Linked DNA regions of Macaca mulatta. The protein of the gene in region 1 binds, or shares a complex with, the protein of each later gene. Links are inferred from orthologs where the notes say so. Each region holds a gene or a part of one and is shown on either strand. Other genes may lie near its edges.

Region 1 (10,797 bases):
TAAGCCTGTATTTCCCTTTTTCTTCTTTGATACAGTTTAGCAACAGCTTAATCATCACTTGGTCAGTGATAAGCAGGCATCTGGACATTTTGCTCATACCAGACTTTATTAGTAGCTGCAGAAAGCATGCATTTTGGACTTTGCTTCAAATATTAGTCATCCTATAACTATACTAGCACATGAACATGAAAATTCTATACTCATGACACATCACTTGTTAGATCAAAAACTCTCGAAACAACTTAAACGTCACTGGTTAAAATGATTATAGTATTGCCATTCCAACAAACTACAAACTTAATGTAACCTTTAAAAAGAATGAGTCACCTCTCTATGTATTATATAAAATGATCTACAAGACACATAGAGTAAAAAAGCAACGTGCAGGACAGTGTGTAGAGTATACTGACATTAGATAAAATACCTTGTGAAATTTTCCCAGGTGCATGTATTTTCCATTAAAATACATTGTTTAAAAGTCACACAGCAACAACAACAGACATTTTAAACAATCATTACCCAAATTGTTTTAGATTCCTTAAATAATCCTCTTTTGAATTTGTATTTTATCTGATTTCCATCTTCTAGCCTCTATTACTAGCTAATAAAAATCTACAATTTTCTTGGTATTTTTCACCTTTACAAATATGAAGAATTCTTTTTAATGGAAATCCCTTCCTAATTTCTCATCTGGATAGGAAGAAGAGGTGTCCATCTTTGGTTTGTTTTGTATTCTTCCACACATCTCTCATCTGGAGATGAGAAGCAAGAAAGGCTATCACTAGGGTCAATGTACTGAGGTCCGTTCCTGTAGAAAGGAAAGGATCCAATAACCAGAGCCCTTTAAAAGTTTGCTTCTTTCCCCATTTAAGCAGAATGCTCTCTTTCTTCTTTTTGAAGAAAAAGTTTCCTGTTTCCTTTCCTTTATTGTGCTTTATTGGACATGGCAGGCCTTAGAGTTGGCCTTTCTGGCACTTCAGAAAACAAGCGAATGTAGAAAAAGAAAGTTTCTCCTGGGTGAGGAAGCTGAGAATTCCAGACAAAAGGAATGTAACAGCAGACATCCTGCCAGTTCCTCTTTCAGTGAAGAACCACCCAAAGCTTGTGTCCCATTGGTTGAGCCCCTTGAAACTGAACGACTTCCAGGAACACAAAAACAACAAACAGTCTAGTACATCTGCATTATTTAAGGAAATATTTGCACGATTGATTGATCAGTCACTACTATCCTTTGCAGGCCCAAAACGCAGCATTTTGTGGTTTGGGTGCAGACTTTAGAATACTACAAAAAAAGTGTAAATTGGGAAGTTTGCTTTCCCTTTTCCTCAGTATAAATAATATGAAATCTGGCAAGTAAAAATGCAAAGAAAATTTAGATTTCATTCCTGTGGGTTTTCTTTAAAATATTGTATCCCTATCCTCATTCCAATCAATAGATTTCAGGTTAAACAAAATTTGAAATATTAAACTCACCGAGCAAGAGAAAAAAGAGTGGAATGAAGAAGGATTTGTGATTTTCAATGAATAATTATTTTAAAACCAAAATAATTAGAATAAGTCTGCTTTGCATGTAGTAGTAATTAAGATACTGCAAATTATTTTGTTGGGTACAAAATCTGCAGGTATTTGTTAACTGTATTTATGGGCACACTTCCTGTTCCCGCCAATCACCAAGTACTTTGGAGTGTTATTTTTGTGGATGATTTTCTTCCTTGTCCAAAAAATATTGACCATTTAGGTAGGTATTATTAATTTATTGGAAACTATTTTTGAAAGTAGTAATGTAAGATTCACTCTCATTCTGCCATGACCATTTGAGTTTATCAATGCAGAATACGTCTTTCTTTAAAGTTATTCTAGAACTGATCAATATTGTCTTATATTTAGACACTGTCTTTTCTCTGATCATCTTTAACCATGTCACACGTCTGTTCCTGTAGAACACACACATACGTACACACACACAAACGTCTAAGATCACAATCCCAAAATGCATGTCTACTTATAACATTTCATGATATTAAATGTTAAATTTTATTTCAAAAACTATCACAGCCTAAAGAGAAATATAATTTAAGCATTAAGATAGTACATTTCAGAAAATAAGCTAGTATTTTCATGTAAATTTTAGATACCTATCATTTGTCATTCCAAGAGATCCTTGCATTCTAGACTCCGGAATTAAAAGGGGTAAAGGGTTATGCTTTTAAGAACTATAAGCTGAAATGATTTACTTCAATTCAATATAGAATATTTGTCAGTCAAGACAACAATCAATGTGTACAAAAATTTACATAACAAGAGGAATAATAGGCAGTGCAGCACCTTTAGAAAAATAATTAAAAGTTTTGTTGCATTTACAGGTAAGTGCCACACTGAGAATTTACAATACAGTAATTTACTGCAATCACAAGGGAGTTCCATAAAGAAACAAAGCTCTTACACTCCAGGTTTTTGGAAGGTGTTATTGGAATGCTTAACTGAAACCACAGAACTTGTATATCCTCAGGATTGAGTTGATGAAGGTCATAAAAGGTTTTCATAGCCTCTATTATATAAAAGGAGTCCACTGCATTTGGATAGCTGGTTTAGTGTCTCTGACAAGTGTGAAGCCTAGAAGAATTACTGGCTTGATGGTGATCTTTCTGTATCCGGCAAGACAGACCTTCTCCGCAGTAACAACGCTGGAATATTTCTAGCCCATGAGAGCCTTTTCTTCTATGCTTGGTACACACTTGACCTTCTTTGAGGACAGGTTTACAGATCTTGGACCAGAAGTGTCTAGCACAACACAGTCCTGTGGCACAGTCTGATGACCGGAGACACACAGAACCTTCTTGTCCTATGAAGAAGACAGCAGGAAAAAAGTACATAGTTACTGTTAAACCTGCATCATTTCACTAAAACAATTCAAAAGACATTTTTGATGTGCTAAGAATGAGTCTTGACATCCTTACCTTTGCTGTGATACATTTTTGAAGACAATGTTGTTCTTCTGGAATACCCATCCAAAGTGCTATGATCATTACCAAAGCTTTCAGTAATGGTTTCCTCAATTTCCCCTCGGAAATTATTTTGATCAGAAGACACACATATTCCTAAAGAAGCAGGAAATAGTGATTAACTTCAGGGTTGTAATGCATTACTGCTGACAGCTATGACAGTGGCAGTCTGTCATGCCAGCACCAACTTGAGATACTTCATTGCAGTGACATCATTTTAAACCTCTTTACTGTTAATGCAAAACTCTCTAGATGGACAGAAGCACAAATGTGTATACTGTATACAGTCAGTCATATGTAATATCCCTAGTATAGCCATTTAAAATACTTTCCCACCAACTGTGGTAGGGGCAAGTGAGATTTCTGCCCATTTTAATATTACCCTTGGGATAAGAAAAAGAAAATCAGTCGCTTTAAAAAATGTTCTTAAAAATAACTTCTCTGCCCCTGGTGCTATATGGGTCCTGCCAGACTAAGTTAAGCAAACGCAATTCCAGCTGCCTGGGACATTGCAATCTCACCCACCAGTTACTTCACTGTGTAATTTCCATATTACAGAGATTTACTTAGTTCATCCTGGAGTACTGCTGGGTCCTAAGGCGGGTCGTCACCCTGTTAGCTTATTTCTGGAGACCTCTTTAGCTGTCTAAATCCACCTTTTGAAAAATTAAAAGTTAGTGGATCTGTGGTTGGGGGGAGGAGTACTTATATTAAGGCAGCAGAGGGTAGAGGGAGGGGGAAGGATGGAGGGGTCAGGTTGTGAGGATATCAAGATCTCTCTTAAAAATGGCCCATGCAGATAAATCACTGTCCTCTGGCTGACAACAGTTTCAGCAAAAATCAGGAGAGGCCAATCTGGCAAAGCCGTGAGAGTCACAGTAAGAAAAATGAAAAGGGTAGCAGAATGCCAAAGCTGGTTTCTTTGGTCTCTGTATGATCCCATCGTCCTCCCCATCATCTCTCTTCTCAATTGACCTCAAGGTTCTCCCAGACAAATTTTTATGGAATGGTCCACTACGAGGTGAGCCGTTGCATTGAATCATTGAGGGCCACGGAGGAAGATAAGGACCTCAGAGACCTCCGAACTTCTCTCTTCTTCCCGATTAAACACTTGCAATGAAGATACTTCAGCGGAATCCTGCATGCTGAAGACCCATTTGCAGGTGGCGCCACAGAGTTCTCAGGGCGGAGTTTTTTCCCCCCTATTCGTAGACGCTCAAAGGCTGGACAGTTTTAGTGTGAAGGGAGCTTTCAGGACTCACCATTTTTGCAGTAATTCCCGGGGCAGCACATAGCGTGACGCATGCAGCGTTTTCGGCGCTTCCTGCAGGCGAGACAGATTTGCACGCCCGCGTCCCCTCCGCGGGTGGGACTAGCGCAGTACTCATCAGTGCCGCACTCCTCATCCTCTGCGCACGGGTACGGCTGTGGGAAAGGTTCGGGGAGAGGGTGAGGCATCCAGACGTCCAGGTACCCGCCCTCTTGGACCCGGGCGCTGATCACAGTCCCTATCTGTCTACCTCTCCAAAACCTGCTACCGCCCACTGCTCCCAATTGCAGGGTTGCCAAATGCTCCCTGAACCTCACACACTCAGCACGTTCTACTCCCTCCTCTCCAAATAGGACCCTTTCAAGGTCAGAGCATCCTCTGACTGCCCGACCCCTCTCACCTGGTAGTTGTCAATGGTCTGGTACTTATTCCCGCCCGGGTACAGAATTCCTGGCGCGGCGCTGACTGCAGAGCCTGGGTGCCCCGCAGCGCCGCCCAGCGGTGGGGGCAGGTTCTTGATCGCGTTGGAATTGAGAACCGAGTTCAAGGTGGCGCTCACTCCCAGCAGAGGGTGGCCGCCAAGAGCCGCCGCTACCAGCGCGACCAAGACCCGGGCAGCTCCTGCTGCGCCCAGAGCCATCATCTCAGAAGGACTCAAGAGGGAGAAAGAAAGAGAAAATGACCGTCACTTTGCAAGCCTGGGTCCCCACGAAACCGTGCCGGTGCGGTTGCACAGTCAGGGTCTGGGAGCCCCCTGCGGTCCCAGAGTCCTGACTGCAGGGAGCACAGAGCTCTGTGCCGCCACCGCCACCGCGGCTGCCTTTATACCGCGGGCCCGGAGCATTCCGGCCCCTTGGGAGGGAGACAACAAAGCCGGGATGGGATTTCAAAGCGCTGGGAGGGGCTGGGAGGGGGTGTGTTTGTGTACATGAAGGGGAGCCTTTGACACTCTTCACCCCGCTCCTCCCTTGCTTGGTCGTTCGGCTGGCCCGGCTCACCTTCGGGGTGACGGCTAGCAGCAAGCATTATAGCAGACGACTTTAATAAATGCAGGCGGCAGGAGGAACTCTGGGAACTTGGGTGCCCTTGACTGGCAGTAAGGGTTGAATTATCCAGATCTGAAATACTTTTCAGAGCCGAGGGGTGATACGCTCTGCAAAAGCACTTTTTGCACCTCTCCCTTACGCCAATACTCGCTGACTGTGCGCACAAGTCATATTCAGTATTAAATACAAACCGATCTGTAATTCAATGGCTCTAGCAAGACGCCTCTGAGAGGGCCAGGTGGCGGGTGCAAGTTGCTCATTAACCCTTCAGAGTCGCGGTTTGCAGATCTGAGTTAAATCCCTGGTTTAAGGTCGTTCAGTTGCCCTCCTCCCCCTCTCCCCCTGCCTCTGCGAGAAAAATGTGCAAAGAGAAGGAAATTTGCACATCAAACGAGGGTAAGAAGGAAGAAGAGCTAATTCTCTTTTGATGGGAAGTTTAGAGAGGGAGGCGAGAGACTGGGGTTTAGAAATTAGATCAGTGCTGTAGGGAAGAGGGAAATGACCGTCCGATAATCAAACCATTTAATGTTCTTTGAATCAGGGCAATCGCGGCAGTAGATGAACTTGATTAGGCAGACGCTTGAGATCAAAGTGGCCGGGGCCAAAGCGGACAGGGTCCAACGTACCGGGTCAGTCGCCTTTCCCCGTTCTCCCTTCTCAGTGGTGGGCTAATGCGGGGCAATAGAAACCCTTAGGGCTTAGTGCCTGACTTCCTCATTAGTATATCATATCGCAATGTTTCCGAACGCAGGGTTTGCTCCCAAGTCATACCTTGCACGGGACCACACAATACCCCTTCTAGGGAGATAAGAAACTACCTTGAGGAGAAGAAGAGCTGGAAGTGAATTAGAGAATTTGACGTCATTAAAATTGGTGTATAGATATAATAAAGTAAAGCTGGTGTATAAGAATGATGTCATGCTTATAAATGGGAAATGATCTATTTAATTCAACAAAAACTTATTGGAAGCCTAGAGCTCTGGCATTGGGCTGCCCTCTGGGTTGTTGCCTTATTTTTATTTTTTAAATTTTTTGGTGAGATGGGTGGTGGGGGAGGGGCACAATGAATACAAATATTTATGAGACACAGTTCTCATTTTAAAGAATAAAGTTCTCTTTATTCTAATTACAGTAATAATAAAAGATGTAGTAACAATAAAATTATAGTAATAAATATAAAAATGTACACAATTCTTTTAGAAACAGATTGATATTATAAGTGTCAGAAAATAGGCAAAAGTTTTGTGAGTCTCGAAAAAGGAGAGATGATTGGATAATCACTATTGAATTAATAAAGAGTAAGATATATTTATTTTGTGCTCCTCTAAGCTGTATAGATTTAGGCTGTCTATAATGACTCCACATGCTGACTGACCTACTGTAGTCAGAACTGGGGCCACCACCAAGTAAAGCCAGTGACAATCTTAAAGTAATAAAATCCTGAAGTTTAGTGGGGTAAAGAGTAATTAAAATACAATTTACCATGGTCTGTGTTCTAGTTCCTTCAGTTTCAAAGGTAATATTAAGAGCATCATCTAAATCATTCTTGAATGGTACCCTAGTTAGACTAGTGTTCCTCCCATCCCAAATTCCATCTGCCCAGGAAATTATCCTGTCAGGAATTTATGCGTTAAGCACCTTCACTGTACTAGGAAATCTGCAAGCTGTATTAAGTTTGAATGACGTTGAAATGTGGAGAAAAATCCGCCTGCCAATCAGAAGGTTGAAAATGTTTCTTTTTAGTGCTATTACCCTGTTTAAATATTTAGAATCTAGAAATACATCTATGCCACATTAAAGATCAATCTCTTGCCTTTTTTTCTGAAGAGATAGTATATGATTAATACATTTAATGAACTTGGTTCATTAAAAGCTTGGTTTCACACACAAAAAATCCATTGCCTGGGGCAAAAGAGAAGAAAGTGGAACAATTTAATCAACAAAGGGAAAACTCTGTTACAACAAAGAGGCTTGTTGCATAAATTCAACCTTGATCTCTGAAAACAAATCATATGTCTATTATGTTTCAATATTCACTGAGTCTGGACAGAATCTGTGGTACTGAGTCAGGAGAGCTAAACCAAGCATAGAAGTTCAAGAGCGGGCTAGCTTCTACCTTCTTCCTCATCTTTCACGTTGCTCCTGAAGTTGTCATGAGTTTAAAATGAATAATGATTTGGTCAATACCTGAGTTCCTACTTTGTGCTAAGCATTATACATGATATTGTGTGATAAAAGATGAGTTCTCATATAATCTACCTTCAAATCATTTAGTGGGCAGAGGAGAGGTAACCTCACAAATTATTCAGTGGAGAAATTACATGGGTGGTCCTCAGAGAGGGCTAAGTACATAGTAAATCATACCTTTGTTCCAAATGAGGAAATTTACTTTTTCAGTGCTTTTTCTCCATTTGAAAATCCTTTCCAGGATGTGGTTTGCTCACTGGCAACAAGAGTGCAAGGTAGATAAAGAGGTACAGTAAAACTCATTGTTCCATCAGCAGCCAGTTAATATTCGGCATGTACCCATTATTGGGAGCATATCTCACAATATGAAAGGCAGGCTTCTTGTCCTCAGAAAGCTTTCAGTCTGTGAGTAGTTGGGGAAATACAATATATTTATATGGGGCTGGGGGCAAAAATTTTTCCACCATCGATTATATTTTGGCAGATACCAGGTCATGGAGAAGCAATAAAAAGGTGCAGGAACTGTGACCAACACGTCTCAGGAAGGAGAGAAGGTTCTGGTGATTGTGTGAGTCTCTCTTACAGCTGGGTGACAGAGGAGGTGTGAGCCAGGGTAGGTGAATTTAGTTTATTAAACTGAGTTTATTTAGTCCTGTAGGGAACCCTGCCTCCTATTCAATCTGGTATAAATATGATCATAATTAATGTAACAAGTTTAATATTTTGTATTATATTTTTAAATAGGTGAAATATGCTTATCAGTGTGGAATTGAATCTCATAACTCAGGAACAGCATAATAATACATGTCTTCTTTATATTTTAAGTGCTGGATGCCACACATAGAATATTTCTCAACCTTTTCATCCATGAAGGAGACAGACAAATACACTCCAAAACACACCATGCTATTCACCGACTATTTTTCCATCTCTGTTATTTGTGACTGTTGATTTTTTAAAAAAAATTTAATATATTTTTATATATTTTTTGAGACAGGGTCTCATTCTGTCGCTCAGGCTGGAGTGTAGTGGTGCAATCATGGCTAACTGCAGCCTTGACCTCTCAGGCTCAAGTGGTTCTCCCACCTCACCCCCCAGTAGCTGGGACTACAGCTTCATGCCACCACACCTGGTTGATTTTTAAATTTTTTGTAGAAACAGGGTTTCACTATGTTGCCAGGCAGAGCCGGTCTCAAACTCTTGGGCTCAAGTGATCCTCCCACCTTGGCCTCCCAAACTGCTGGGATTACAGGCATGAGCCACCGCGCCCAGTCTACTGCTGTATTTTTAATTCCCTCCTTTCCTCTTTTCTTTTCTCTCTCCCTCCTTTCCTACCTTACTTCTTTCCTTCTTTCTCTTGATTAAATCAAAAGAAGCAGATTTGTTGCCATACACTTTTACTTTGCTAGGAAAATGCTGCATAAATATCATTCCTTACGGTGTGTGTTGCCAACATTTTTGTTAGTGTCAATCTTGAATATAGTAGGGATTCCTCATCCCTGATGTTTCGTAAAAAAAGTGATACGACTTTCTCATTGACTTTTAAAACAGTTTAGTCTTAATGTTCTTCGTGATGTTAAAAGAACTTTTAGACCTGGTCCATGTTATGACTCCCCTGAGAGCTGGATTTTCTGCACTCCTCAGTACAAACAGAAGGCAAGATTTGACCGTGATTATGTTTATTTGAGCAGTGGAGATGGTCAGCCCAGATAAATCAGCCTCCGTTGTAGCTTTCTAACCAAGCTCAGAAGATGTGTTTTACTAGAGCAGGACATTGAAAGTTAATCTGAGAGTAGAGCCCGGAACCCAGAAACATTTGACTAAAACACAGTGAAGATAGTGCCTAAACCACATAGATATCTGCCTGCATCTTTTCTGAGGTCCTGATACTCAGAAAGGTCTGTGGTGGTGGATACAGGGAGTGCAATGTCCTCTTTGAGTCCCCTAAAGGATTTAACATCTCCAACCCTAAGGATAGGCCAGTGTCTGCAGAAAGCAGGATGTAGGATCCCATGAAACAGTCTCCGCATCTAGAGAAAAACAGTTTTCTTCCACGTCATTGAGTTCCTATTATTACCTCCTTTATAAGACAGCTCTTCTCCCAGGGTATGGCCAAGAAAGGCATCGTGCCAAGGAGTCAGAAGGCTGGGGATGGTACTCTGTATAGGGTGTCAGCCATAATCTGGCTCCTAAATATGGGAAAGCCGCTTAACTCTTGGTGTGGTGCTGGCTTTTCTTTATAAAATGGGATGAAGGGGAGACGGAGAGGTTCCTTTTCACTACAAAAGTCTCTTTCTCTTCCTCTCTCTCTTTCTTTTCTTTTTCTTTCAGCACTGCCAAGAGAAGGCTTTTTCTTTTGCTCAGGTTAAATAAGAACATCCTGCAAGGAGTCTGTTCTCTTATACAGCCTGAAGATCAAGTAATAATCATTGACATCGATACTAAGCATGTCGATTTTGAAGAGACTGGCATGTAAGTATTAAGTGCCTGGAAATAACGTGAATTACTTGAACCAAGCGACTTTCTAAAAAATGTGTGTGTGTGTGTGTGTGTGTGTGTGTGTGTGGTGTGTGTGTGTGTGTAGATAGAGGTTGTTTTCCCATCACAAAATTGGTTGTATTATTTAAAGCTGATGTTTTCGGCTATCACTAATTCTGCAACTAGTGAATTGTAAAGCCCCTTAAGGTGAAAAGTAGAAAGTAGGACCTTAAAAACACTTGAGTCTTGACACCCAGTCTTAGAAATACTAAAGAGTGGAAGATGTAGGCTATTAAATGGAACTATTAACTTTTGGCGGGGAAGAGGAGGAGGGATGTATAATTAACTCCTGTAAGGATTCTTCATCACCCTTAAGTTAAAAAAATTAAATCATTTTCAGAGAAGTCTAGGAGTCCTTGGCAGGAGGCACGTCGGGATACCTCTCCGGCGGACCTATGGGCTCCCAAACCTGAGTCTTTCCGCAAAGGCCCTGCCTCCAGCGCGGGCGCGTTTCCCAGCGCTCAGGGCCCGCGCCCTGCACCAGGCGGCGCGGCGAATCTCCATTGTTCACGCGCTCCCAGTGCTGGCTGCTCACGGTGGCTGCACTTGGGTGTCACAACCCGTCGCTAGCATACAGTAGTGTAAAATGAAGCTTGTTTAAAGACTCTCTTTGATGAGCGAAGATCAAACGGCCTGGGGACCCCCGGTCTTAATCAGACTTGAGCCAGGATGGCATTTTCACAAATAGTCCGTTTGCTCGGCTTTGAGCAGACTTTGTGCTCAGCACATTCATCCGGCTGCGGGGCGGGTAATC
Region 2 (10,217 bases), on another chromosome or scaffold:
TCACCCAGGCTGGAGTGCAGTGGTGCCATCACGGCTCACTACAGCCTCAATCTCCTGGGGCCAAGTAATCCTCCTACTTCACCCTCCTGAGTAGGTGGGACTACAGGTGCACACCATTACTCTGGCTAATGTTTTTATTTTTTGTAAAGACAAGGTCTCGCTATATTGCCTAGGCTGGTCTCGAACTCCTGGGCTGAAGCATTCCTCCCACCTCAGCTTCCCAAAGTGTTGGGTTACGGACATAAGACAATGCACCAGCATAAGACTTAATTTTTCTATAACATCAAATTGCTATCATCAAACAAGTAGTAAGTAACAAAAACTTGCATTCCCCTACCCTTTAACCAAACAAATGATCCCCTCTGGATTCCCACAATATTTTACTTCAGAAAAAACACACGCTAAAGTACTTTGAAAATGCTGCTTTCTCTCACTCTAGCTTGCTTTGGAGGGACATGCAGCTTACCACTACAAGTCCTGTTGTCAGCATTAAGAGCGTAGTGGGCAGGGCATCCACAAACAAAACCCCCAACTGGCACAGCCAAGCAGAGGTGGGAGCAGTGCCCATTGCTGGAAGCACATTCATTCCACCCTGACTGTCGAGATGAGTGAAAGACGAGGATGTCCATCACATAATCCAAATGGCCCTGAATGATGGTGCGGTTTTGGCCACTGGTTTTGTTGGCACGCTCAATGCTGCGTCGGCTCCAGTCCGTCCAGTAGATATAATCTTGGTACTGAGTTAAGCCAAAAGGATGAGGCAAGTCATCTGCTATAACTTCACGGTTGAGTCCTATTTTCAGAAAGGCAGTAGACAGGGGAGAAGCAGAGTGATAAAATATGTGAGAATACAAGTGTCTTGTTGGCAAAAAGAAAAAAAAAAAAGCCCTAACATATAAAACATTACATTGTAAGCAATTTAAAATAGAAAAATTCATTTAAAAGCAATTCTAAAAGCAGACCAGTACTCTGAATCAATCTATCTTCTGACCCCATGCTTCAAACTTATATTCCTGCTACGAATCACTCAGTTTCCTAAAATTCTTGCAAATGGTCTACTTTAAATGTGGTTTTCTTTTCTCTATATAAGGGTCTACAGTTCATTTTTTCTTCTTGAACTATAAAAGGAAAAGATGGAAATATATATATTTTACTGGTACAAAAGTCATTTCAGGAGTATCTAGGGAGTTATAAATTTCATTACAAGTCCAATAATAATGAAACTTTCAAATAATAAAGAGATGAATCCAAGTACCTGGATCACTATTAATAATAACAAATAGGATACAATTCCAGAATAGAAGAAGAGTGGACACATTCATATGAAGTTGTATTAAAAGTATCTAACCAATGATAAATAGCAGCCACTGATTTTTGCATGGAAAGAATATACTGTCTGAGTAAAAAGTAGTAAAGCTTACCAAGCATATTTGAAGATTCTATTAAGTTGGTGTCCAGGTCTGTCCAGTAAAGCCTCCTTTTAGCATAATCAATAGTCAGGCCATTTGCCCGCCCCACATTTGGAACTAAGGTAGTGCGTTCACTTCCATCCATTGCAGCTCTGTCTATCTTAGGTTTTCCACCCCATTCAGTCCAATACATAAATCTAAATTCAAAATAATAAATATTTAACATTTCATTTTTTAAATTATCTGGGGGTCATATTCATGCAAAGTAACTAAATAAATTTAAAGAAAACATATAGCAAATCAAGGAAATGGGTAAAACAAAATCATGGCTACAATGCTTTCAATTATTTTGGCACCCTAAACTAAATATTTTTTTCCGTATCCCAAAAAGGAAGTGAGTCAGCTTTCTTTAGTCTTTCCAATGAATTTGTTCCATCCAAACCTAGGAATTGGAAATAAACCAATAGTTTATTGCAGTACTGGCATTTATAAAACTAATATTCAAGAAAACAGCAAAGGTTTAAAGCTCTGGTCTCAGAATCTGGTTCACTTCTGAGTAAAATTTTTTATATATTTTTGAATATTAACTAATTTGAGTTTTTAATATGCTGAACTTACTTTTTGACTTGTGTAATCAACTTTTCCTCAAAATAAGTTGCAGAAGTACATGAAAGACAATTATAAATACTAACCCTTTAACTGAAGTCAAAAGCAAAGCTTGAAAATGTATTTGGTCATAGAGTCCAAGGGAGCATACTATATGGTAAGAACAACACATCACCCCTCGATGTGTCCACTGGGCAATGAACACTACACTACTACAACAATCCGTGAAATTTTAGAATAATTATTTTGCTGTTATTTTCCATTTTTGAGTTCTGCACTTTAATCTTACAGTAATTCTACAGTATAGGCTTTTTATAGATGAACAGGCCAAAACACTACAAGAAATGTGAACAATTTATCTAATGTCTTCAAGCCAGTTACACGACAGAGCTGGAACTAGAACCTAATCCTTGGCCAAATGCCCTTTTCAAGTCAACTAGTGAGGTGCTAGTTTTTGAGACTCTTGAATATTGGAACTGAAAAAGCACTTCACATGCCAGCTCTCACGAAATACTTGAGGACAGATATTCACTCATCAGCCTGTCAGCTGATAGCTGACTTGGTAGCAAAGCATGAACATGCTTTTCTGAAAACTGAAGGTGTCCTGCCTTTATATGCATTTGTCAATTGACAGGCATGTGCACACCATAAAAGCCAAAGAGAAACAACTGAGAGATAAATTTCATACTTGCCAGCAGCAACCAATACCAGAGTCTTTAGTCTCAACTATTAAATTTATCCGTCGGGCAGCTAATGTTTAGAGCAAAGATCACCACAGTATGTCAGTGCTGACTAGATGAATTCTAATCATGGAATCAATGTCATTTCAGTGAAACTATTTTAAGTAGCAAATATAGTAAACATGTTTATATGTTCACATTGTTTACTACTATTTCTTTTTTTTTTTTTTTTCCAAGACAGAGTCTTGCTCTGTCACCCAGGCTGGAGTGCAGTGGCATGATCTCGGCTCACTGCAACCTCCACCTCCCGAATTCAAACAATTCTCCTGCTTCAGCCTCCTGAGTAGCTGGGACTACAGACACATGCCACCATGCCTGGCTACTTTTTTTTTATTTTTAGTAGTTACGGGGTTTCACCATGTTGGCCAGGCTGGTCTCAAACTCCTGACCTTGTGATCCGCCCATGCCTCGGCCTCCCAAAGTGCTGGGATTACAAGCATGAGCCACCACGCCCAGCCTGTTGACTTCTTTTATAAGTGGAATTTTTCTTCAAATTTCAGATTTCTTAGCTGCTGGCTTTAAAAAATGTGCTGACTCTTGTAAAAAGGAACACCCGCCCTTGAAAAACGTCATGTTGTAAACAGTTTAGTCTATCTTGTAATAACAACGCCACTGCCAGTTTATAATAATGATCAAACCAAACTATCCATTTTGAATTAATAAATACTCCAAAATAAAGCTTTTTAAACGTAGTTTTTTCTTAGCTCACAACATTGTTTCAGTGGGTTTACTTCAATAGGCTTGAAATCTAGTATAACCGGAAAGGAGTGCAAGCAACTATAGATGCATAATACCTGTTGGTATATATATTTAACATATCAATATACTCATCAGTAACATTTGATTATCCATTTCCCTCTTTCCTCACCTAAAGTTAATTATGACAAAAGTAAAATTAGCTAATAATTATTTATTCAAATCAGCAAAATATCAATAGTGTTTTTAAAAGCTCATCTATCATTTAGTTCTTAGATTCCTAAGAAGTATTATTTAAAACATTAAGAATATCATCTATAACTATGCCATGTTCCCCAAAATGTACACTGCAGTTGCAAAGAATGCACATGTAAAGCTGTTTACCCTTCGGCAGGGTCCAACGCCAGAGCTCTGGGACTATCTAGGTCTTTCCACACCAAAACTTGTCGATGCTGCCCATCCAACTTTGACACCTCAATTCGATTCGTTCCTGTGTCTGCCCAGTACAAGTTCTTCCCAAGCCAGTCTACTGCCATGCCTTCTGGATAATCTAAGCCGAATTCTACCACATGTTCCAGTGCACTGCCATTCATAAAGGCTCTGCTGATGGTCTGTAAAATAACATCAACAACTAAGTCATATGGCATAAGTCAAAACCCAATCCAGAAAGAAGGTTTGGTTTGGTTTTTGTCAGGGGCAAGAGGATCCAGAAGTGACAAGAGGCATACTATTTCCTAATAAAATTCACATAACTTGCAAGTGCAGAAAAATTTGATGTGAATCTCTAATAAATGCAACTTCAAGTTTTACTGCCAACTCAGTGGGGAAATGTTAAAACTCTAAAGAACCAAAAACTTATTCTACTAACAGCAGAATGACTTTACTTTTAAAATTTATCGGTAATCAAGTGGAAAAGCTGTGACCGCAATGCTACAGATCTTAACAAGCAGTCAATTTTCTTTCTTTTTTTTTGAGACGGAGTCTCGCTCTGTCGCCCAGGCTGGAGTGCAGTGGCGCAATCTCCACTCACTGCAAGCTCCGCCACCCAGGTTCACGCCATTCTCCTGCCTCAGCCTCCAGTGTAGCTGGGACTACAGGCGCCCGGCTAATTTTTTTGTATTTTTAGTAGAGACTGGATTTCACAGAACAAGTAGTCAATTTTCAAAAGGTGCTTAAGATTATGGCAAGTCATCATGCCTACCATATAAATGAATGTAACCATTATACTACCATTATAACTTTGAGCCCCATAAAAGTTTTAAAAATCATAATTCAAACTAATAGATACTACATCTTATTAAATATTATCCTAAGTACGTTTTGTCCACAGATTTTCTCATTTAATACAACAGTCCTGCAAGTATGGCATTACCTCTATTTTATTTTATTTTATTTTTTTGAGAATTAGTCTCATTCTGTCACCCAGGCTGGAGTGCAGTGGCATGATCTCGGCTCACTGCAACCTCTGCCTCCCAGGTTCAAGTGATTCTTGTGCCTCGGTTTCCCGAGTAGCTGGGATTACAGGTGTGCACCACCACACCCAGCTAATTTTTGTATTTTTAGTAGAGACAGGGTTTTGTCATGTTGGCCAGGCTGATCTCAAACTCGTGACCTCAGGTGATCCATATGCCTCAGCCTCTCAAAGTGCTGGGATTACATGCATGAGTCACCACATCCGGCCACCCCCCATTTTCAAGATGAGGAAATTTAGAAGATCACCCAATGCAAACCAATATTTATTTCATTTATTCACTTAATAAATTTAACTGAACACCATTAGAATCCAACTCTGACTCCAACACCCCATGTTTTCGCACATTACAAAAAAGTTTACATGAGTTATCTGAAACAAGCCCAAAACAATCTGGAAGAAGAAAAGATTATTCTTCAGATTTATAGGTCTGGAGCTTCCTCTCTCTGGCTATCCTGGTATTCTTTTCGGTAACTATTCTAGGAAGAAGAAAATAAAGAGTAACTCATTGTCGGCCTTTTCCGCCTCAGTCAGACCCTAAAATTTTGTTTAAAGTAAATCAAGAATTTTTGTTTAAAGTAAATCAATAGCCATTTTATGTGAAGCACACATTTCCTTACTCAGCTAATTGCAGAAAATGTCATTCATCATTTTCAAATGGAAGAAAGTAGAGGAAGACTACGGCTAGGAGAGTTAAAACACTCTGGCAAAGTATCTTATATTAAAAAGCATCTAAATAAAATACTGAACGGGCCTTTCCCTTCACTTAAAAACGTAAGGGTTTTGGCCGGGCACGGTGGCTCACACCTGTAATCCCAGCACTTTGGGAGGACGAAGCGGGCGAATCATGAGGTCAAGAGTTCGAGCAGCCTGGCCAACATGGTGAAACCCCATCTCTACTAAAAATACAAAAATTAGCTGGGCGTCATGGCACACACCTGTAGTCCTAGCTGCTTGGGAGGCTGAAACAGGAGAATCGCTTGAACCTGGGAGGCAGGGGTTGCAGTGAGCTGAGATCGCACCACTGCACTCCAGCTTGGGTGACAGAGCGAGGCTCCCGTTTCAAAACAAAAAAAAAACTTGAGGGTTTTTCTTGAACTCTGCCTGTCAAGCAATGAGGGAGGTGCGTCACAGCATGAAGATTCAGAAATTCTAGAAGTTCTCCCTTTTAGTCCCTAGCTTTAATATTCCAACTCTTTTGCTAACCTTGAGTGATATATCAGTCCAATAAATTCGGTTGTCTGTCACATCAAAATCCAAAGCAGAAGCTTCTTTGACACCAGTGAGTGGAATAGCCACATTATTATTGTTTGTTTCCAAAGAAATTCGTCTGATGTCTGCTCTCCGTGAAAACAAAAGGAAAGCCTCTGGGACAATGCAGGTCTTCATGTCACTGATGAGTTCAAAGCCAATAGGGCAAGCACAGCGAAGGCCCTGAGGTCTGTAAAGGCAGAGATGGCTGCATCCCCCGTTTTCCTCAGCGCAGGGGTTGGAACCTAAAAGATTAATTATAAAAGGGGCACAGAAGAACACACACATTGACACATTCAACATATTTTCACTTTTAAATTACTTAAGCCTTTGGTTCACAAATGCCTATCTGCTCCCAATCTCAAGTTTCAATTCTAATATCACAAACAAATAATATGCAGATTAATAGGGAGTAAAAGCATGGTGAAGTATTTTCCTTTAATATCCATAGTAAGCTTTAAAATAAGGTATGTTATTCATACTATCAGATGGAATTCTTTGGATGAAGGTGTGCCTGTGCATATGTATTCAGTCCTTCAATTCAAACCTGGGTAGCTAGAGTAGTAAAGTCAACGTTTAAAAGGTCCCTTCTTAGTATAAAAAGAAGGGGGTAAAGAAGATTTCTAAATTGCCTCAAAACATCAATAATTTACACTGCTGACTATCTCCATCTTTTTTCATTCCTGGTTTCCGTTTCTAAGAAAGCTTTGGAGTTACTTACCAATTACTCGATGAACATTTGTGGCCTTTAGGCCCATGAGGTCAGGCAGCTGATCTATGATCACTTCCCTCTCTGCACTTCGTTTATGTACTCTTTCAATGCTACGCCTCTGCCAGTCAGTCCAGTAAACGTAGTCACCCAACAAAGTAAATCCAAATATGTGAGGAATTTTGTCTTCCACTAGTACTCGTCTCCCAGTGCCATCAGTATTCATAACCTTCAGGTTTAAATTCAAAAGAGAAGAGGATGAACGATGTATTTATTCTTCATGCAAAAATAATAAATCCAACTGCCTGTTGTATAAAAATCCAAGAGTCATCTTGGTATTCCTATTACAATGATTTCTCAAAATTACGTGATGATTTCATAAGAATGATTTCAAATATTCCATATAAGCCTCTATTTGACCACTTTTCCCCCCAATCTCATATTATTCGTCCTTCTAAAAATTCTGTCAACTTTAGATTATGCAACTCTTCTATTAAATGACTGTGGCAAAATTAAAAATACAGTATCATCACCTTAAGTTTGCACATTTATTTTCAAATTATAATGTACCTTCACATACATTGTTTTATCTTATGTTTTGTTTTATAACATATTTTATTTTATCCTGAGAGCTTTGCCTATGGAAACTGAGATTCATGTAAGGTCACAGAGCTTGTAAACACAGTTGATGTCTTTTTCAGGACTCTTTCCACTTAGCGTGCTTTTTATTTTGTTGTTATTGTCAGTAACAACAACCAACAGATAAAACGGATCTCAATAATTATCTCTCATTCCTGAGATTATAATCACAAAAGTCTATCTGGATTATATGACACCCTCTCTGCATCTAAGTTTCAAGAAACTAGGATGTAACTTCTCTTTCCAACTACCTAATAGTAACATTATTAAATTCACTCTGGCATTCATATTGCATTCACAGTGCATTCACCATGCACTACTCAGTGTTGACTTAACTTGGGATACCTTTATTGACATAATATAACTAATATTTGCATGTAAGATTATATCTGATACTTTTTTGCAGGGTAGAAGCAGATATTGTTCACACGTACATGTTTTTAGTATGAAATAACATTTCTAAAGGCTAATTTGCCCAGCACACAGGCCCCTTTAAGTGGCAGAAATGGTCTCAGGTAGGGACTTGAACAATGGGACTCTGGAAGGCTTGCTCCATCTTTCAGAACAGAACAAGATCTTCTCAGTTTCTACTGCAGCATTTCCAACTGCATTTCCAGGAACATGTACTGCTACCTCATCTAAAATGTCATATACTTAACTGTACTGCTACCTCATCTAAAATGTCATATACTTAACAGTGAACCTATGTTCTGCATTAGGGACAGTTCAATCAGTCTATCAGGGAGCACCCAACACAGAGTGATAAATATTCCGTATTATACAACACTAAAATATAACTTTCTTCCAAGTTTGTGGTATGTTAAAATATGCCTGACTTGGTTTTATTCTCAGATTTAGTTCTATCTTATTTTGCATTATCTTACATGTAATAAATTACACTAATTTTGCTGATCTTTACATTCAAATGTTGGCCTTCCTATTAAAATTTGCTGGTGTAAAAGCATAAACTAGATGTCCAATATTAAACTTTTAAAGAATAACACTTATATTTCTACTTCAAAACTATTACAGGATCAACTAACAAAATCTTTTCTGTTTCAGCTATATCACTTTACAACATTTTTGTTTATTTTGATAAATAGCTTAAACAAAAGATGGATGATTAAGTATGAATTAGGAAAATGGGACTGGGTATGGTGGCTCATGCCTATAATTCCAGCACTTTGGAAGGCCAAGGCAGGAGGATCACTGAAGCCCAGGAGTTCAAGACCAGCCTGGACAAAATGGCAAGGCCCTGTCTCTACAAAAAATACCAAAAAATTAGTCAGGTATGGTGGGATAAGCCTGTAGTCCTAGCTACTCAGGAGGCTGAGGCAGGCAGATCGCTTGAGCCCAGGAGTTTGAGGCTGCGGCGAGCTATAATCAAGCCACTGCACTCCAGCCTAAGTAACTCCAGCCTAGGAAAAAAATTTTAAAAAAGAAAGAAAATAGGTAAGAATTAAATTAAAAATCATTGTGAGAAAAATAGTAAATACCACAATTCCAAGACCTTTTTAGTAAACATAATTCTGTGTCTATTTACCAGTTTCTCTTCATTCTTCTACTCTCTAAAAAATTTCTCATGATCAGCAAGTAATACTGTGGCAGAAACAGATTCAAATATAAGCTTTATCACTCAGTGGGTACCCTTAAGCAAGTTCTCGCAAATAAAATAGGGACAGCGGGCTAGGCACGGTGGTTCATGTCTGTAATCCCAGCACTTTGGGAGGCTGAGATGGGCGGACCACGAGGTCAAGAGATGGAGACCATCCTGGCCAACATGGTGAAACCCTGTCTCTACTAAAATACAAAAAATTAGCTGGGCGTGGTGGCGCACACCTGTAGTCCCAGCCACTAGGTAGGCTGAGGCAGGAGAATCGCTTGAACCCAGGAGGCTGAGGCTGCAGTGAGCAGAGATCGTGCCACTGTACTCCAACCTGGCAACAGAGCGAGACTCTGTCTCAAAAAAAAAAAAAAATAGGGACAGCGCCACTGCCATCACTGAATTAATTAAGGATCAAATAAAATAATGCTAAATATATAGCACAGTATTAGGTGCACTACCTGGCAAACACTGGTTCCTGCCCTTTAAAATCATTTTATTAAAATGCTTTAGTTCCTAAATGTAAACAGCTACATGATTGTATTTAATTATTTAATGTAGTGCTTCAAAATAAAAATACGTAAATATAAAAGAATACATGAAAATAAAAGACCAAAACAACCACTCACTGTTAAACTGGAGACAAAAACCAAGAGACCTTTATCTATCCTGAAACCAGTAGGAAACTACACAGCTACAGCCTCCCATTTCCTACTCCCATTTTTATTGTTTACTTTTGCTAGTTAGATATAAAGTAACTAAAACAGTAAACAAAAAAAAGCAAATATTTGACAATTTCATACGAGTACACTTTTGCTGCTCTACCAGACCCCTAATTCACTTCCCCGCAAATCAAACAATATTAGTAAAGACATCCAGTAAATGCAAATCACCATGATAGACATGATGAATGCTGAGAAGTTTGAACAGGGCCTCTTCCAGCTAAGGTATTACAATCTAACTGGGGAGGTAAACGGTATTTACACTAAAATTACACAAATATCCCCTCTCTGTAAGTAATCAGGAAAAACTTCAGGAAATAATAGGCGTTGAAATTCATCTTGAAGAATTAGAATTTTGACAAAGAGAAAGA
Region 3 (10,727 bases), on another chromosome or scaffold:
TGAGGTGTATGGACACCCATGTGACATTTTTCTACGATGGCCTCTTTCCTTTCCCTCATCAGTATGAATCCAGGCAAAGTCTCAGAAGGTGAGGTGAGGGTTGAGGGAAGCACTGCCATCTTGGGAGGAAGACTATGAAGATAAGAGAGGGAGGAAAAATAGAGTGACCTCAGACTGCTCCTCCTAGACTAATACTTACGAGTTCCAGCTGGATTCTCAAGGTCAAACTGAATATAGAAGGAATGTCAATCATCATTCTCACCAATGACGAGGCTGCACAGTGAGCCGGCCAGAAAGTAACCTGCCAAGTGGCATCGGAGGTGCTGGATCTCACTTCAAAACCTATACAGGTAGTTTTCTAAGGGACACATTCACTTCCTCCTATGTTGTCCTTATTCAGGCGGCAGACATTCAGGCAAAAGCTACAGATCCAAACTTCCGGCCTCTCTCAAGTGTTTTGCATTAACTGTTCCACAGTACAAGCACAATCAACTTGGTATGTTTGAATGTTTCATTTTGTTTTTTCAGAAATGTTTTAATTAAAACAAAATAATCAGCCATGCTAAGCACATTGTTGTTTTTTAAAACGACTTTAAATATGACAACAGAACCTTGAAAATAAAAATTAACTGCTTAGGAAAGTGACAGAAGTTTGTTTTCTTCTTCTTCTTCTTTTTTTTTTTTCCTGGCTGTTTTTCTGTGTCAGGGCTGGTGCCACCTGCTGCCTGGGCTTTCCTCTGAGAAATAGATCTCTCAACGGTTTGCTCTAAGCAACATCTGCAGGCACAGTTGAACAAACCATAGGCCAGTTCCAAGGCAGGCACTATTTATGTAGTGCACACTGAACCACGCTGAATTTCTCTTTAGGACATTTTCAAGGTTTTTTTTTTTTTGAGACAGGGTCTTGCTCTGTTGCCCAGACTGGAGTACAGTGGCACAATCTCAGCTCACTGCAGCCCTGACCTCCCAGGCTCAAGTGATCCTCCCACCTCAGCCTCCTGAGTAGCTAGGACTACACGACATCTGGCTAATTTTTGTCTATTTTTTGTAGAGATGGGGTCTCACAGAGATGGGGTCTCACTATGTTGCCTAGGCTGGTCTCAAACTTCTGGGCTCAAGGGATCCAATCACCTGGGTCGTCTAAACTGCTGGGATTACAGGCGTGAGCCACTGCGCCTGGTCTAAAAGTCCTATTAAAGACCCAAATGTATGTGCATGAACTTCTCCCCATACATATCTTTTTAAAAAAATTGTGGTAAAAAATAACGTAAAATTTACCATTTTAACCATTTCTCCCATATGTATCTTAAAGTTAGTTAACAGTAAATGGTAAAAGTTTCATTCGTTCACCAAAATCAAGCCTCCTTGTCACCTCTTCTAGACCAGTGAACACTGAAAAAAATCAGAAGACATGGACCTTGAACAGAACTCGGCAAAGCACAGCCTGTGGCCCAAATCTGGCTCACTGCCTACTTCTATATGGCCCACAAGCTAAGACTTTAAAAATCTATAATTTAAAAAATATTTTAGTTTTGAAAAATCAAATGAACAGTATTTTTTTAACATAAAAATTATAGGAAATTCCCAGCCTGGGCAACATGGTGAAAGTCCATCTCTACTAAAAATAAAATACTAGCCAGGCATGGTGATGCACGCCTGTTATCCCAGCTACTTGAGAGGCTGAGGCAGGAGAACTGCTAGAACCCGGGAGGCAGAGGTTGCAGTGTGAGCCGAGATTGCGCCACTGCACTTCAGCTCGGGTGACAGAGTGAGACTCCGTCCCTAAAAATAAATAAATAAATAAATAAATAAATAAATAAATAAATAAATTATAGGAAATTCAAATTTCAGTGTCCATAAAGTTTTACTGAAACATAGTCACATCCATTCATTTATCTTTTGTCTATGCTGCTTTTGCCCTACAGAGTTGAATAATTGCAACAGAGATAGTGTAAGTCCCATGAATCTCGTATTATTTACTATCTTCCCTTTACAAAAAATGTTTGCCCATACCTGACCTAGATTATCAGTTGACATTTCCATACTCAAAAATTCTAAATTAAGGATGGTATACTCCCCATCACCAAAAATCCCTAATCTGTATATTGTGAAGCTATTTAAAACAATGTATTTCATCTTACTAATTTATTGTTTTTGGTCTAACTATGTTAAACCATGAGTGTATCAATAATATCTATATTGAGTGTATCAACTTTCTGTTTATGAGTAGTGAGCCTAAAAGGAATGCTTTCTTGCTTTAGGATTTATAAAAGGGCTCATTGCCTACCTCAAATATTTTTTATTGATTGATTGATTTTGAAACAGAGTTTTGCTCTTGTTGCCCAGGCTGGAGTGCAATGGTGCGATCTCGACTCACTGCAACCTCCGCCTCCTGGGTTCAAGCAATTCTCCTGCCTCAGTCTCCCAAGTAGCTGGAATTACAGGTGCCCGCCACCATGCCCGGCTAATTTTTTGTATTTTTAGTAGAGATGGGGTTTCACTATGTTGGCCAGGCTGGTCTCGAACACCTGACCTCAGGTGATCCACCTGCCTTGACCTCCCAAAATGCTGGGATTACAGGCGTAAGCCACCGCGCCTGGCCTCAAAGATTTAAATAGTTTGCCTAGGGGCCAAAATATATTTTCACAAAAATATCAGAGGTCTCTGATACCACGTCGAAATGGTGTTTCTTAAAATACTCAGAGCATACAAGTAACTGGTGTGCACCCTTCACTCCTTCACTGCTTCAGCCCCTATATTGCTTACAGATAATTCTATTAGCATTAATGAAGTCCCTAAGAAGGCCAAGAATTGGTAGACAGTATGAACTCTAGCTGTTAACTGAACTCATAGGTTTTATGGCAAACACACTACTGGCTAGTGGGGCAAATTCCAGATGAGGAGTTAGAGGAGAATGAGCATCAATCTATAAACTTATAAAAGGTATTCACAGCAAACATAACCTGAGTGGAGAAGCTCTGTTGATGCGCATCTGATAGACCCTAAAGGTAGTAAAACACCCAAGTGAGTAGACCATAAATTCCATACATTCCAGATGGGACCCACTACAGAGAACCCATCGACCGCATGGCCCTAGCTGCACTCCTCCTTGAAGGAAAGTCTAGATTCCATTACCTTCTATTTTCCTTCTTATAAGTTGTGAAGGAAGGAAGAGAATCTTAGAGGAAGAATGAAAAGGGAGATCATTTGGGGTTGGGTACACATTGTAATTAGAAGTAGGATTGATGGGGAATGAGCTAACTGTTTTTATAAAGTCAGCATTCAAAAATGCAAACCACCAGTAATTTAAATATTACAAAATTGCGCAGAATACAAATATTGAAATAATTTTTTCCATCCACAAAATTTTAGAGAAAATTACAGTATCAAAAAATATAAAATGGCAAGTTTGGCATATCCTCAGAGTAAAATGTGTGTGTGTGTGTGTTTTATTGGAAAAGATTTTAAAAGCTAGTGGGTAGGATCTAGACAGGATGTGTTGGTGAAGACCATGTGGTATCTCCCTAAAACTGCTTCTGCAACTAGGCAGGAAAAGTCAAAAAAGCAAAGCACTGAGTTACCAGGACGGTAAGACACCAAGCTGGCAAGGCTCAGTGAATTGGGAACTTGGGCCACTTATCACAAATCATTTCACAATGATTATTTGCCCTTACCCCAGACTCCTAAATAAAAGTACACCAAAATTTGGGGTGCAAACTTCATAAGAGCTGCTGCATTTGATCTTAAAAAAGCAAAGATATCTGGGAAGAGAATAGCTTCCAACAAACTTAAGCAGAGTTGGCTCACTTGATGCTTTTCAGAGCTACTACTCTGCCCTTTCCAGAAGGGGAACCAGTCTATTTCCACCCATACCTCTCTCTTTGTAGGGGACATTAAATCCTGACCACACAGATAGCAAAGTGGAGCTAAGGGGTTACTAGGTTACAGTTATGTTGACATATCCTGGCTCTCGGAATGTCCGTCACTCCTCACAACAGTAGAAGCGATCATACTGTAGAAGTCCCATAAAAGGCAGTGATCACTCAGAAACCACTCACTGAGCCTCAGGTTTACAACACTTGGAGACCCCAGTTCTACCAGTTTAAAGCCAAGCTTTGCCTTTTACAGAAATGAATCAGACAGAAAGCTCTTAGCACTCCCAGGGTAAATGAGGTGTCTAGCACTCGATGAACTGTGAGGTCCTATAAAAGTATTATTAAAATATGTTTATTGACTCCCTCCTATATGTGGGTATGTTACCTACAGTATATCATTTAATATTCACAACACTCTGCAAAGTTATCCTGTCTTTACAGATGAGGAAACTGAGGCTCAGAGAGCTGAAGGCATGGCCCAAAGTCACGCAGTAAGTGACAATACCAAGTCCTAGCTTTTTCGCTAATCCAAGCCAATAAGTAAACAAAGCAACTCTGAGTTTTCTTACACCAGCAAAATCCCATCCTTTCCAATATCAGTCTGTGACTTTGGGTGGTGAACCCAGAGGCGGGTTTTCCTACTCTTGCAGACTGGTAATAAACTCTTCCCATCCCTTTCACAAATGTCCTATGCTCAACATCCGAACAACCTGCAGAGAAATGCAACGCCCTCTTGCCTTCTCTTCAACTTCAGAAAGGATTTGGCTACAAAGTTGCGTGTGGAAGTTAAGCAAAGTCCAAGCTTCATCCTGGACCAGAGCCCCCCTCGGGAAGACCTGGCCTTGGCCTTGGCCTTGGCCTGGGGAGTGAGTGACCTGTCTAAGGTGTGGGGTGACCGAAACACGGAGCTCGGCGTTGCACCCTTAGGAAGAGCACCCTAAGCTCAGTAGGGGAGAAGTTTCCCATCACCGCTTCCTTTTTCCTCTCCCCCTGCTGCGCCATCACCTAAGTCATACGGAAGTTCAAAGCGGCCCAGCGGAGAGAGAGGGCACGTCCCGTCCGTCTGGGTACAAGGTCGTCCCAGGACCCTAACCTGCCTCTAGCAGGGCGAACAAGTCCATCCCGTTCCTCGCGAGGCAGAAGTTACAATGTCCGCCAAGCGGGTGCAGCCGAGGACTCGGGAAAAGGGGCTGAGCACCGGCTCCTCCCGCCTCCGCTCTGCTCTGTGCGGGGAGGCGCCGGGTTCCACCGGTGTAGGAGGGAGGAGAGGACTGGGGGACGCGGGGGCGTCGTAGTGAGGCTCAGGGAGGGGACCTTGGCCCGGGGGAGGGATGTCGCTGAGGGTCTTGCAGAGAGGGATGTAGCCTCTTGTAGCAGGGGAGCCGTCCCAGTGCAAGGTGCGTCGATGAAGGACTTGGGGCGGGATCCCAGGAGGTACTGGGGAGCAGGGGTCGTCCCGGCCCGGGAGGGGTCGCTGGGGACTTGGGGACGGGATCCCAGGAGGCAACGGGAAGCAGGGGGCGTCCTGGCCCGCGGGGAGTCGCTGGGGATTTTGGGACGAGATCCCAGGAGGTACCGGGGAGCAGGGGTCGCCCCGGCCCGGGGGGGAGTCGCTGGGGACTTGGGATGGGATCCCAGGAGGTACCGGGGAGAGGGGGCGTCCCAGCCTGGTTGGGGTCGCTGAGGGACTCGGGCAGCGGGTCCCGGATCCCAAGACAGAGGAGATGTCCCAGCCCGGGGGGCGTCGCGGAGGGCCTTGGAGGTCTCAAGGCGAAGGGGGCGTCCTGGGCTGAGGGGCGTCGCTGAGAAGCACCGGGTCCTGCAGCCGGGGGACAGTACCCGGCCCGGGGGCGTCGATGACGGGCCTGGGGGGAGCCCAGGTCCCAGGGAGGGACCGTCCCAGCCTGAGGGGCGTCGCCGAGGGGCCCTGGGAAGGGGCCCGAAAGGTCCTGAGGTGGGAGGGAGGGGGCCCTCAGGCCGGCCGGCTCTTGTCGCCCCTCGAGTGTGCTCCGCTCAGGGCGGGCGGCGGGGGTCGCTCACACTCACCGGGTCCGGGGCCGAGGCCGGGGCTGGGCGCGGGCCGGGCCGCCAGCGTGAGCGCCGCGGCGGAGAGCAGGGCGAGGCGGGCGGCGGGCGGCGCCATGGGCCGTCAGTGCGGGGCCCCGGGGCGCGGCCCGGGGGAAAGGGGGCAGCGCGGGGAGCCGGGAGCGGCCATGGGAGCAGGACGCGGGGCCCGAGTGTAGCCCCGCCCCGACTGCCCGGCCGCCCCGCCCAGGCCCGCCCAGCTCAGCGCCGCCACCGCCCCTGCAGCCTGGGGCCCGCCTGGATCCGCGGAGAGGCCCGGAGGGCGGAGCCTACCGCGCGCGCACGCCCCGCCCCGGCCGCGTGCCTCTCCTGCCACTCACGCATCAGGCCCCGCCCATCCCTCGCCTCACCTGGGCCCGCCCCTCAGGGCCCTCTGTTTGTCCCATTCACGGGTGGGATCAGCAGGTGAGGGCGGGGCCTCGGCCCGGCCTCCAAGTCACCAAGCGGTTTGGCCGGGCTGAAATAGGCCGGGCTCCCAGTGACCCCTCCTCCACCCTCACTCGGGTCGTGACCCACACGCGAGCTCAGCTACAGCGATAATAATTACAACAGCAGTTTGCAAGCTGTTTTCCCTTGCTTAGCTCATCGTAATGGTGAAAAAAAGAATGCTTTGGAGAGTTCACATCCCACTTGGTCACCTGTAAGATCTTGGACATGTTTAAAGGAAAAATAGCTCTTACCTCAATTTCCTCATCTGTTAAATGGAGGTGATAATAGCTACTACTCCCCAGAGCGGTTGCACTAAATAAGAACGCCTAGAGCCGGGCGCTGTGGCTAACAAATCCTGGGATCCCAGCACTTTGGGAGGAGGCCGAGACGGAAGAATCGCTTGAGCCCCGGAGTTCGAGACCAACCTGGGCAAAGCAGTGAGACCCCATCTCTACAGGAAAAAAAAAATAAATCAGTGGTCCCAGCTACTCAGGAGACTGAGGCAGGAGGATCGCTTGAGCCCGGAAGGTCGGGGTTGCAGCAAGCCTTGTTCACACCACTGCACTCCAGCCTGGGTGACAGAGCAAGACCCTGTCTCAAAAAACAAAACAAAACGAAAGCATGGAAGCTTTTACGCACGCACAGTAGGAGCTCAGCAAATGTTGAATTCCTTTCTCCACCCCAAGTTTGCAGCCACATACTGACCCCCTGGTTCCGTATCTTATCACATAGCCAGTTTCAACTAGGGCAAGTTTCCTGATGTGTCCGAGGCTCAGCCGTTTGCAGAATAGGAATAATAAAAGGCCTTCAGAGGAGTCGATGAGATAGAAGCAAGTAAAACGCCCAGTGCAACGACCAGAAATGGATGGGATAGTGCTGCTTATCCTACAGCCTGGGATGTTAGGCATCAGAGAGCGCGCGGCTTGCTTAAACTTTCGGCCCGGGTGTGGTAGGCCCTTTGCCCTCCTCCCCGCCGACCCCGGCAAGGTCTTTCCCTGCCTCACCCGGGGTCGGTCGTGGGCCGTCCTCCTCCCCCGCCCTCCCCCAAGGCAGAGGGGATTTTCCTACAGCTCCCGCCTAAAGCGCAGCGGTGACGCCCGGCGGGGCAGGTCTGGGCGGCGCGCCGGCAGCTTTCAAGTCTCTGGTCCCGGGCTTGCAAGTGCAGACCTGCGCACGGCGCGGCGGCGGGAACATCTGCCCCAGTGTGCAGACTCGCCGCACCCAGAGCGCGGCTGGGCGGGACAGGCCCGCCTTAGGTACACTCGCCCCTGGGCCCCCTCAACCCCCGGGCGCCGCCCCCTTGCCCACTCCCAGAGCCCGCGTTCCCCCATACTCCTTTCTCCACCCACGGCTGCTCTCAGGTCCGGGCCCGAAGGGCGCAGCTACCTCCCACGAGGCCTCTCAATCTCTGTCCCTCTCCACCCACACTACTCAGCGCTGTAGCAAGAAGAATCTTGTCCAGTTATTGTTTTCATGTGTCACTCCCGAGTTCAAGGACCCTCTGATCTTCTTATTGGAGCTTAGGGGCACCCACCATCCCCTCACCCAGCCAGCCTCGGTCCTGGGGAGCCCCCCACCTCCTACCACCGGTGATCCCCATTTTTGTCCAGCTTTCCCCTTTTCCACAATTTTGGGCCCTTCCCACCTTCTCCACCGGACCTGAGAACCCTTACTCTGGGACTTCTGTGCCCTCCCAGACAGCAGTGCCTTTGAAGAGAATGAAATGAGAAGATGCAGGTGAAGCCCTCAGCCCAAAGCAAACAATAAAGTCGAACTTTCCTTTGTTCAGCAAATATTCAGCGAGGAACTTGCTGAGGGCTGAGGACACAGCCACCAAGACCAAACCTTCCTCTTGGAACTTACATTCTAGTCAATCTGAAAACACGCAAATTCCTGAGAACAAAAAGTAATACAAAGACAAGAAAATTATGTTAACTGAAGGCTCTGTGGATTTTTTTTTCTTTTTCTTTTTCTGAAGACAAGGCCTCCCTCTGTCGCCCACACTGGAGTGCAGTGATGAGATCATGGATCACTGCAGCCTCCAATTCTTGGGCTCCAATGATCCTCCCGCCTCAGCCTCCTGGGTAGCTGGGACTACAGAGGCACGCCATCACACCCAGCTAACCTTTGGGCTACTTTAAACAGGAAGCCAGAGAAAGACTTTAGCAAAGCAGGACACAGTTCTCTACAGTTTCCAAGGTTCTTTCGACATCTCATTCAGGTTTCAGAGAAGAAAATAGGAAGGGCACCCAGGAGGCTGGAAACAAGGTTTATTTGGCCAAGTCTGGGCAGCCATGCCCTGTGATAGTAGCTTTGGTCTGCCCTGCCTGCTGTGGGAAGGCACCCCTCCTGGGCTGGCAGCAGCCCCTCCTCCAGTTGGCTCTCTCTGTCATGTGCACTCCTTAGGACCAGCCATATAATTGGCATGGCACAGTGAGAAATGAAAACGTATGTCCTGGCCGGGCGCGGTGGCTCAAGCCTGTAATCCCAGCACTTTGGGAGGCCGAGACGGGCGGATCACGAGGCCAGGAGATCGAGACCATCCTGGCTAACACGGTGAAACCCCGTCTCTACTAAAAAATACAAAAAACTAGCCGGGCGCGGTGGCAGGCGCCTGTAGTCCCAACTGCTCGGGAGGCTGAGGCAGGAGAATGGCGTGAACCCGGGAGGCGGAGCTTGCAGTGAGCTGAGATCCCGCCACTGCACTCCAGCCTGGGCGGCAGAGCGAGACTCCGTCTCAAAAAAAAAAAAAAAAAAGGAAAACGTATGTCCTTTGTCCAAACTTATTAAGAATTTCAAGACAGGCCAGGCGCCGTGGGTCACACCTATAATCCCAGCATTTCGGGAGGCCAAGGCAGGTGGATCACCTGAGATCAGAAGTTTGAGACCAGCCTGGCCAACATGGTGAAACCCCATCTCTACTAAAAATACAAAAAATTGTATCCGGGAGCGGTGGTAGGCGCCTGTAATCCCAGCTACTCAGGAGGCTGAGACAGAAGAATTGCTTGAAACTGGGAGGTGGAGGTTGCAGTGAGCCAAAATCGTGCCACACAGCAAGACTCCATCTCAAAAAAAAAAAAAAAAAAAAAGAATTTCAAGACAGTGACAGCAGAAGATAAAAAGATAAAGCATGTATGAGGCCCTTCCAAGCAAGTAGCAAGGGGGCCTATGTTAATATACCTGTTGCACACCCATGAAAATAGCCCTGTTGTACAACAGGACTCGGAAATCCTGGCAAGCTCCTCCTGGCACTGGCTGCGGTAAGAAACATCCCTCTAGCCTTCTCCACCCCCACCTTCTCTTTTCCAGCTGAAAGCCCAGCACAGGTGATGGAAACAGTGCACAAGAGGCTAAAAATACAGCCCGGCGTGTCTAGGTCATGGCGCTTAACAGCTCAAGGTCTTTTGCTCCACTATGTGGTCCTGGCTTCTGGCAGAGAGCAACCCGGGATACTCATTTCAGTGCTTTACATGCCTGGGGTGTTTAGCAGCTTTATTTCATGGAAAGAGTGAGGACGCTGAATGCAGCTCTTGGGCCTCCAGAAAGATGTTGGTGTCCGTTTGTTTGCACTGTGCAAGTCAGGCCCCTTTCTTCCTCCGAGGGCAGCAGGATTGGTCAAGAAGCCAGGAGACCTACGATGTTGGAGTTTTGGTCATTCAAGTGTCTTTGAAACTCCAGTTGGGATGATTTCCACTCAAAGGACAGTCTTTTTATGGAGAAAGCCCTGGAGGAGGGGGCCGGATTATAGTGACAGCAATAGCAAACGTTTACTGCGGACTCAACTAAGGCTGTGCAGGGCGTCCATGGTTGCATTTCACAAAATCCTCCCAGTAACCTTGTGAGGGAGGCATTCTTACCAGCCCACACCCACCCCAGTACAAAGAGAGATTAAATGACTTGCCCAAAGGTGACATCGTGGTGGAGCTGGGCTTTGAACCCAGGCAGTGGAACCCTAGTCTTACCCTCTTAAGTACCAGGCTGGGCCAGGTGCGGTGGCTCACACCTGTATCCCAGCACTTTGGAAGGCCGAGGCAGGTGGATCACAAGGTCAGGAGTTCAAGACCAGCCTGATCAACATAGTGAAACCCCATCTCTACAAAAATACAAAAACTAGCTGGGCGTACTGGCAGGCACCTGTAGTCTCAGGTACTTGGGAGGCTGAGGCCAGAGAATCGCTTGAACCTAAGAGGCAGAAGTTGTAGTGAGCATGTATAGTGCCACTGTCCTCCAACCCAGGCAAGAGTGAGACTCTGTCTCAAAAAAAAAAAAAAAAAAAAAAAAAAAGACAGGGTTTGATATGTCGCCCGGGTTGGAGTGCAGTGATAATTCACAATCATG

What was found.
Region 2: the proteins of DKK1 (region 1) and LRP6 are in contact, whole or in part, in a crystal structure (PDB 3S8V), measured with the Homo sapiens proteins. The link is inferred for Macaca mulatta from reciprocal best matches to the Homo sapiens genes DKK1 and LRP6. Residues at the interface, in NP_036374.1 of Homo sapiens: Glu185, His204, Phe205, Trp206, Ile209, Gln218, Val219, Thr221, Arg224, Arg225, Ser228, Gly230, Leu231, Glu232, Ile233, Phe234, Arg236, Ser258, Leu260; in NP_001401174.1 of Homo sapiens: Arg639, Glu663, Ser665, Ile681, Tyr706, Glu708, Thr724, Arg751, Trp767, Gly768, Gly769, Pro771, Val790, Gly791, Arg792, Asp811, Thr812, Asn813, Leu814, Pro833, His834, Phe836, Trp850, Ser851, Tyr875, Met877, Arg1184.
Region 3: the proteins of DKK1 (region 1) and KREMEN1 are in contact, whole or in part, in a crystal structure (PDB 5FWW), measured with the Homo sapiens proteins. The link is inferred for Macaca mulatta from reciprocal best matches to the Homo sapiens genes DKK1 and KREMEN1. Residues at the interface, in NP_036374.1 of Homo sapiens: Cys189, Leu190, Arg191, Ser192, Ser193, Cys201, Arg203, Trp206, Ser207, Lys208, Lys222, His223, Arg224, Arg225, Lys226, Gly227, His229, Gly230, Leu231, His261; in XP_011528731.1 of Homo sapiens: Pro67, Asn88, Asp90, Asp92, Ser94, Trp96, Gly105, Val106, Tyr107, Trp108, Tyr110, Asp127, His128, Gly129, Pro132, Thr140, Asn142, Glu164, Ser165, Tyr167, Ala168, Phe170, Asn189, Val191, Phe193, His196, Asp203, Gly204.

The regions. Positions count from the first base shown.
Region 1 is NC_133414.1:97,438,761-97,449,557, forward strand, and holds DKK1 (dickkopf-related protein 1 precursor), read right to left. Parts: upstream 5,099-10,797; 5' UTR 4,916-5,098; coding exon 4,673-4,915; intron 4,428-4,672; coding exon 4,265-4,427; intron 3,099-4,264; coding exon 2,958-3,098; intron 2,843-2,957; coding exon 2,589-2,842; 3' UTR 1,740-2,588; downstream 1-1,739. UniProt on the Homo sapiens protein: Antagonizes canonical Wnt signaling by inhibiting LRP5/6 interaction with Wnt and by forming a ternary complex with the transmembrane protein KREMEN that promotes internalization of LRP5/6.
Region 2 is NC_133416.1:14,586,186-14,596,402, forward strand, and holds part of LRP6 (low-density lipoprotein receptor-related protein 6), read right to left. Parts: intron 7,112-10,217; coding exon 6,895-7,111; intron 6,419-6,894; coding exon 6,129-6,418; intron 4,063-6,128; coding exon 3,836-4,062; intron 1,607-3,835; coding exon 1,422-1,606; intron 794-1,421; coding exon 467-793; intron 1-466. UniProt on the Homo sapiens protein: Component of the Wnt-Fzd-LRP5-LRP6 complex that triggers beta-catenin signaling through inducing aggregation of receptor-ligand complexes into ribosome-sized signalosomes.
Region 3 is NC_133415.1:22,478,206-22,488,932, forward strand, and holds the start of KREMEN1 (kremen protein 1), read right to left. Parts: upstream 6,132-10,727; 5' UTR 6,019-6,131; coding exon 5,922-6,018; intron 5,273-5,921; exon of another isoform or gene 5,206-5,272; intron 1-5,205. UniProt on the Homo sapiens protein: Receptor for Dickkopf proteins. Cooperates with DKK1/2 to inhibit Wnt/beta-catenin signaling by promoting the endocytosis of Wnt receptors LRP5 and LRP6.